Linked DNA regions of Daphnia pulex. The main gene of each other region encodes a partner of the protein of the gene in region 2 in a complex. Links are inferred from orthologs where the notes say so. Each region holds a gene or a part of one and is shown on either strand. Other genes may lie near its edges.

Evidence for each region.
Region 1: mediator of RNA polymerase II transcription subunit 19-like (region 2) and mediator of RNA polymerase II transcription subunit 20-like share a complex: the UniProt entries of both Drosophila melanogaster proteins name them as parts of the mediator complex. The link is inferred for Daphnia pulex from reciprocal best matches to the Drosophila melanogaster genes MED19 and MED20.

Annotation. Positions count from the first base shown.
Region 1 is NC_060026.1:11,663,727-11,668,220, forward strand, and holds the start of mediator of RNA polymerase II transcription subunit 20-like, read right to left. Parts: upstream 2,910-4,494; 5' UTR 2,727-2,909; coding exon 2,713-2,726; intron 2,593-2,712; coding exon 2,450-2,592; intron 1-2,449. UniProt on the Drosophila melanogaster protein: Component of the Mediator complex, a coactivator involved in the regulated transcription of nearly all RNA polymerase II-dependent genes.
Region 2 is NC_060023.1:10,279,992-10,283,387, forward strand, and holds mediator of RNA polymerase II transcription subunit 19-like, read left to right. Parts: upstream 1-1,647; 5' UTR 1,648-1,864; coding exon 1,865-2,069; intron 2,070-2,110; coding exon 2,111-2,382; intron 2,383-2,447; coding exon 2,448-2,792; 3' UTR 2,793-2,875; downstream 2,876-3,396. Other genes in the region: GTP:AMP phosphotransferase AK3, mitochondrial-like, read left to right, coding at 20-53; required for excision 1-B domain-containing protein-like, read right to left, coding at 318-494, 556-754, 821-906; MAP kinase-activating death domain protein-like, read right to left, coding at 3,258-3,344. UniProt on the Drosophila melanogaster protein: Component of the Mediator complex, a coactivator involved in the regulated transcription of nearly all RNA polymerase II-dependent genes.

The DNA.
Region 1 (4,494 bases), on a different chromosome or scaffold from region 2:
TCAAGAGAGAGGCCCTGACCAATCTCAATCGAGTAGAGATCCCAAACACCCGACAAAAGGGCAACCAACCCAATGTGCTTTCTCGCTCACTTCTTCTTCTTCTTCTTCTTTTACAAGGAACTTGGTGATATTCCATCAGGCTCACATCATCCCCCCCGGTAATAGGATACATCTTCTTTTATTTCCTGGTGTGGTGGCTGCTGCTGCTGCCCTTTTCTGTGTTAAACCAAATCAATCCAGCTCGTGAATTATTCAACGCATTCCAATCAACTTATGGACGCTTCTTTTCTTCTTCTTCTACTTCATGTATAACCTCCTCCTCTTTCACCTGATATAAAAATATTTTCTCTCTTTCCTTCTCTTTTGCGCCATCCCCCGATCGGAATGTCTTCATTTCGGACGGACGGACGGGGAGATTTCTCGACGAGATCTTCTTTCTCTCGCCCCCCTACCGTAGCACAGAGGAAAGGTTAACCAAAGGTAATAATTTACCTGCCTTCCTAGTTCTTTTTTTTTTTTTTATTTTTATCATACGAAACAAACGGCTTTCACCCCCCTGTAGGAAGGTGTGGTTATACACCCGGGGTAAAATCAGAAAGAAAAAAGAACGGGGGAAAATGTTTTATACACACGAGCCCTTAACGATTGAAAGATCACAAATAATAAAACACACAGGAGAAAATGAAGTTGGACAACTTCAAAAAGAGAAAACGTTTTTTAAGACTCTCTTTTCTCCGCGTCTTTTTAAAGGGTCATTAAAAAACATTTGGTTAAAGTCCAGAGGGGGCTCCCACAAGCTCAGATTTCATCATTCCAACTTGATCGTTTTGGAAGAAAAAGAGAAAAAAATAAAAAGATGAAAATGTCCGCGTTTCTTTCACTGATAGATTCTCCTACTTCCCAAAAACTCGCCAAGTTGGCCCGTCCTGTGTAGGTGTCAGCTGAGAAAACTCGTACGGGGGTGCGGAGAGATTCAATTTCACAGATGAACGGCACAGACTGACGGCCAGATGTAGAGAGGATACCAAGTGGGGGGAACGCCGGAAAACAACAGAAAATCGGCGAAATCGGCAAAAAAGAAGAGAGGAGTGTGCTCGCGCTATGGTCTTCTGTTGGAGACGGGAAAAGATATTGCGACTATTTGTTCCTTTTTCAACATTTTTTTTTATTATTTTCGGTCCGAAACTGGCCGGCCCCCCTCTCTATTTCCGTGACGACACGAATCACGCCCAAGATTGACGACAACAAGAAAGTTTGGGGGGAACGGTTCCCTCCTCTTCAGATGCGCTCCGGGAGGGGGGTTTTCTAACAAGAAGAAGGAGGAGGCTTCGTCGCATATATATCTCTACTACTCCTTTTTCCCTTGTAACTTATTAAAACATTTCAAGAATGTGTCGTGTGTATCTGCTGGCTCCACCCCTTTTGATTTCCAGTCGCTTGAAATGTGTGCGAAAATGGAAACTAATTGTGAAAAAAAGGAATGAAGTGGAGAGAGAGGGGATGAAGCTATTTAAATGTAAACATGTCGAGACAGAGCTATTCTCGGTCGTTCTTTTTGCCAAGTGGTGCACACAAGTCAGCTGATGGCCCTGTGGCGTATCAAATACGCTTGACATCGAATTGCCGAGTTAGACGAGAGAGAGAGAAGAGAAAGAGAGTCGAGAGAGGCTACGGATCGATGAAACAAAAGACGCCAACTGTATCAACGCTCAGCCTTAACAGACTTAAGAGACAATAAGGCGGCGGCGGCGGCAGCAGACGGGCAGATTCAACGTCGCGGAATGGCAGTAGAACAATGCGGAATCGAAATACGAAATTCAAAACAAAAAAATTAATAAAAAGAAAAAAACAAATTTGTTTTTTTTCACGAATTGAATGGACCGTATGTCATCGGTCCCAGAGGCGTCCGTGAGTCAAAGAGCCAAGGACGGGCAAGTATATATGTTGACAGCTTGTCACTAGCGCACGTAGGACGGCCTACCTGAATTACCCGGCAGAACGAATCGTTTTAGGGGGAAAAAAAAGCTAGCTTCACTCGACACGGTCCTTAAATAAAAGTTGGAATAGCAAAAAGGGAATAAAGAAAACTAAGCAAAGAGTTTGGGAGGAAAAAATAAAAGAGGTAGAGACATCCATATGTGGGAATGGAAGGGGAGGAAATTTACAAGTCAGGTAGTGTGTTTTGCTCGTAAAAGGTGTTTAGAGGATTCGGATATCTCGTGTGTTACGTGTCGAGCGGATGGTTAAAATCAAAAGAACTCGGTGCCCTCCACATTTGAGTTATTCAAATGTAGAGATGGGTGGTGCCATCTGGTTATGGGAAAGCTGAACAGTTCCAACGGTGGACTTGGAGCTGGTAAAGTGAGCAGCAGATGGGTCTGCTGTCACAACTTGTTTACCACCATGGACTTGAATCGGGAAAAATGTAATAGAAGATTGTGTTTTTTACCCAATGATGCAGTAGAACTGTAAGTTTCACAATCCACGATGAAGGATCCACTAAGAACAGCTCCCAGAGCAATGGCCCGTTTGGTCAACATTTCAATAACCTGAGGACCGGACTTGCCTTCAGGAACAGCAAACAGTTGTAAACTAAAATTGAAAAACAACATCAAATTAGTAATTATTTCATACAAACTTGTGATTCAATTAATGGTTCCTTCATTTGAATGAAATGTGATAAAGCTGAGAGACACTGAATGCTTTACTCACACTATGACACCCATGATGTTGTTACAGGGTCAACTAGGTAAATTCCACACACAGTCGACTCCCCGAAATTACACCTGAATGTTTATATTCTATTCCTATACTTAATTACAAAACAAAAAGATGAAAAAGAAAGTCACGTTTGTTTCAAAACAAACTGCTTTTCGTGCCTGTCAGAAAGACCGGCTTCGATATAAGTATCGATATGCTCCTTAACAATCGATCAATCGATTTTCCTTTTTCTTGATTTTTACTATTTAAAAATAGATTGGGGAAAAGTCGGAAAACGGGAACACAAACAAGAGCTGTGAAACCTTGAAGCATTCACACTCCTCCCCTTGACAAAAACAAAAAAAAAAAAAACGGGTGAGAAATATCATCCAATATTCACGTACGACAGTTCTGAAGTGAGAAAAACCTCGCGTCGAGCATTTGTAAGAAAAAGTGGGTGGGAACCGGATGAACACTATACTACAAGTGAGCCGTTATAGAGTGTGTGGCCCGTCTCGAGCTATATGTCTAAATAAAAGTAGCTGCTCAACATTTATCTTGGGGTTTCTTTGACGACAGGCCCATAACTCTCTCTTTTACTCTTAAATTGTTACACAACATGCAAATATACCCACGGAGCTCTCTCTCTTGTACCGCTGAATGTGCGAGTTTGAACATATGTAGTCACAAAACCGCTGACGTTCGTGTGCGGATAACATTCGAAATTATTTCTGTTGATAGTGTGATACTCGGCGTTTAATAAACCCGCTCGCGGGTATTACGATGGGGTATTATGTGCGCTCGACACACTCCCGCGCGCAAAGATGAGGTCAACCGATTCCACCGCATACATAATGGGATCTAGACTAGAAACCGGCGGCGCCTATCTGTGTGAATGTCCGTCGTCGTCGTGTGTATTATGAGCGGAATAACAAAATCTCGTTCATGTCTGTCCCCCCCCCCGTCGTCGCTTATCTACAAAATAGTCCCACCCCCACCCCCCCATACATACATGTATGGAGAGAGTTTATATCTAGGAAGTTGGTGCACTCGGTTCAGCGAACGACTAGGGTTGCTAGGAAACCATTGATCCATCCCTCAAGGATATATGTGCATGTGTAAAAAAAGAGGAGTGGGGGGGGGGGGAACCGGGCTTGCGTACTAACTGATCCTTCTCGCAAATGGTGAGAACAGGAGGAAAGAAAAAGTCAAAAGGGATTTTTTTTTTTGAAATTTATTTGTTTCGAAAAAGAAATAGGAAACCATCCAGTCAAGAGAGGGGGGAGAGTACTGTAAAACAAAAAATCTGCCAGTTGCTCGCTGGCGTGCCTCAGCAGCATCCGGAATCTTCTAGAAAAAAAAAATTTGATTACCAATTCATTTCTTATTCCGGTCGAGTCTCAAAGTGAAACTGGTGGCGCGGTGTGTTAAAAGGAAAAGCGAAACGCGCTGACCCCCGCAAGGTGAAAAAATAAAATAAAAAAGGGAATGAAGAAAAAATTCCTGATCCGATTATACAAGTTCCTATATAGTCGCCGGAGTTGCAATTTTGTACCGCCGTTGGGTATATATATATAGTATAGTAGGATGGAGCCCTATATAATCTAGCTACTCTATATACATAGTCTAGCGCGAGAGAAATCCATACTACTACTTTAAGGCTATATACCGTCCAATGCCCATCTTGGGTGGCAGACGGATTAACTCTCCGTGTGTGAGCTGGTTAGATTGTTGCCTTTTTTTATCGTTTATTTTCTTTTTAAAATTCTTTTTCTTTGGGTTTTGGTTTAGTGA
Region 2 (3,396 bases):
GATGTCTTTTGTATTGCAGATTTCTGTCAGAAAGCATTCCTAAATCTAATTGAATGCTGCATGCTGCCTTATGATCTTCCTGCATTACTTGGTGATACTCATCAGAAGAATATGTGGAATGAGGTTTAGAGAACTTTGCATTTTAACATTCCTCTTATTAGTTTTGAAACTTAACTTGCCAAGAATTTAAATATGTTAAATAGAAAACTAAGAATGCAACATTTAGTTAGAAGCATTATGATGCTGTATTTCTTTAGATTGTCAACAGGTTAATGCAAATATGGGAAGAGAATAATCTTCAGTGATGAAAATAAAAATTACATCAGATCAGCCAATTGGTAACAAACAGCTTCCATGTTTTGATTGATCTTGTCTTGAACCACAGCCAATTCTTTCTTCAAGTGATGCACTTCACGCATGAGAATGTCATTTTCAGCATCCTCAATATGTTGCATGTCTTGCAACTCTTGTTTAGCCAATTGCAATCGAGCCATCTAAACAGAAAATCAACAAGTTTAATAAATCTTTAAATCTTAATCTTTAATAATTTTTTACCAGTTCCAGCTGCCTTTTCTCATAATCCTGCACTTTGATAACATGCAATGTCAGTTCAGGCTGCATGTTTCTCAATTGGCACTCAATTTTAATTATTTCTTCTGAGATTCGCTTAAAGTCTTGAGTTATGTCTTGAACAAGTGTACGAAACTGGATAAAGTCATAATTTGGTCCAGTGCTCAGATAAATCTTATGCCCTCTGGAAAGAAACAATACATGCAAAAATTACCTCATGTGAAATTTTTTAAATAACATTGTAACTCACTCATGAAAAATCTTGTAGGTGTGGACCCTTTCCTCTTGCAATTGCTGGAATTTCCTCAAAAGGCCATAAGCTGTGACTCCATCCATGTTGAGAATTATAATTTTACTAACGTGTAACGAACAAAACGGAATGAACGATCTAGGTAAAGAAAAGATACGAATTGTATTGTATATTTAAAAGGAAATAAGCCTAGGTTATACAAATAATTACCTTTGGAGAAACAGAGTTCTTATTATCACGGTTGCGAAGGTAGGTTTTCTATCCTCGTAACATCACGACTTGTGGTTCCAGAATAAAGAGGACGACTATATTTTAAGGGTGACGACCCGGTCCTTTCATCAACGCCCCTAGGGTCAATTCTGAGACAGACAAAAAAAGGGCTGGGTTACTGGGTTGGAAAAGCTGAGTCTGGCCTTTAAAAAACCCTCTACAATACACTAGGGAGTATGAGATAAGGATTTTTTAAAAAACAGCCTCTGCCTTCAGCCAGTTTTCTGACTTTTCTTGAGACTATTGAAGGACGCCGAACTCGAATTCGAAAGTTGAATTCGACCTCTGGCTAGATAGATATTTTTTGATAACATGAATAATAAAATATACATCAACAGTTTGATACTATTACCAGACGGAAATTGAAAAAAATTGTGATTAAACTCACCATTAAATCACACGAGGCGGACACAAAACTATCTACCCTAGCAACTGCCACTGAGTCTAAACCTCGTGTGACTTTTTGACTTTTGAAAGCGTGCTCTCGCCAACTTGGCCAATTCAAGTCCTCGGGCAAAAATATTTGCATAGAGGAGCATCTAGTTATATCTTTTGGGTACAGGTGGCGCTGGTGTTTCGTTATGCTTTTTCGCTGCTGTGTTTACTCTGTCAATTGTCATTTTTGGCATCCAACATTTGCCTGAATAATTTATTAATATCTATAATTACTACGATATATCGGATTCGACCAAGGTCAGTCTAGTCGGATACGGAGATTTTACAAGCGATGACCTCATACTAACGAGTAAAAAGGGTAAAAGTTTTTGACAAAAAATGTCGGAATCATTCACCATCCAAGTGGCCGATTCTCTTCGGAGATTTGAGCCGAATTCTCCAAGATCTTCTCCAAGAGGAAATCGAAGCCCAGTTGTTCCCAGGCAACAAGATTCCACTGGAACACTGAAAACCACCATATCACTTGGAAAGACCCCAACAATTGTTCATACCGGACCATTTTATCTTCACAAGGAACTGCCAGGTATACATATTTTACGTGACTGTATCATTCTTTCACTCAAGGTAAATCTATCGCAGGAGATACTGACCTAACCGGAGCAACAAATTTAATGGCTCACTACAATTTGGAACATTCATACAACAAATTCAGTGGCAAAAAGTTCAAAGATTCGCTATCTTCATTCTTACCTGGATTACCCGGCATGATTGATACTCCTGGTAACACAGACAATTCATCCTTAAGATCCATCATTGAAAAACCTCCAATCGGTGGCAAGGAGTTGGTATTCTTGAATTCCTCTCAACTTGCAGGATTCCGTCTTCATCCAGGACCAGTAAGAGACTTTTAGACAGCAAATCACATAATTGTTATTTTAATTTTCACATCTTTATTTCATAGTTGCCTGAGCAGTATCAAACCTCTTCCCTGGCCCCACTGAAGAAAAAACAGAAACACAAGAAACACAAAAAGAGTAGCGAGATCTCAATTCAAGAAACTGGAGCTGGAATCGCTGGACCGGGCATTGGAGTAGTAGGAGAGGGAGGAGCCGGTTCGGGCGGTGAATCCTACGAAAAAAAGCATAAGAAACAAAAGCGACACGAAGATGAGAAAGATCGCAAGAAGAAGAAGAAGGAGAAGAAGAAAAAGAAACAGAAGCACAGTCCAGAACACCCAGGAGCATCAGCCTCAATCGGTACTACAAATTCAAACAGTAACCCACCTGGAATGATGCCCTTACTTTGAGAAACCTTCTTGTCACGTCGATTTATTTCGAATTTTTTCTGCTTCTTTCGAGAGTATAAATAAAATTCCATTCAATGAGTGAATTTTGGTTTATTATTATTCATTCTTTCAAATATTTTCTTCTAAATCGGAGTTTGAAAGCTATAGCGTTGGCTTGCCCGAAAACAATGATAAGCACGTCACGATAGCTACACGCAAGTCACAATCGCTCAAATGATATGATCAATAGGGTAAAACAACTTTATATTCATTAATTACAAATACTAACAGTGAATGTTCGAACGCAAATTTGTCAACTGCTGTTGGTTCAAATTTCTTGATGAACCGTACCATGACTAGATAATTATTATTGCGACGACTCGTACGACAAAACGAACGAGTAATCATTTAAGTACAACAACTAAAAGTAACAAGCGAATCAAGTGATGTCCGGTGTGTGTTGCTTGGTCGATTGATGATGAGCTTTCAAGTCGGCTCAACCTTTTTACGCTGTTCGCTTCCGGCGGCCACGTAAGAAAACACGCAGAGAACAGCGTAACAAATCTGATCCGCCTGTTTTGTTTAAAAGAACAAAAAAAGGTTGATTAATATAATAACAAATGAT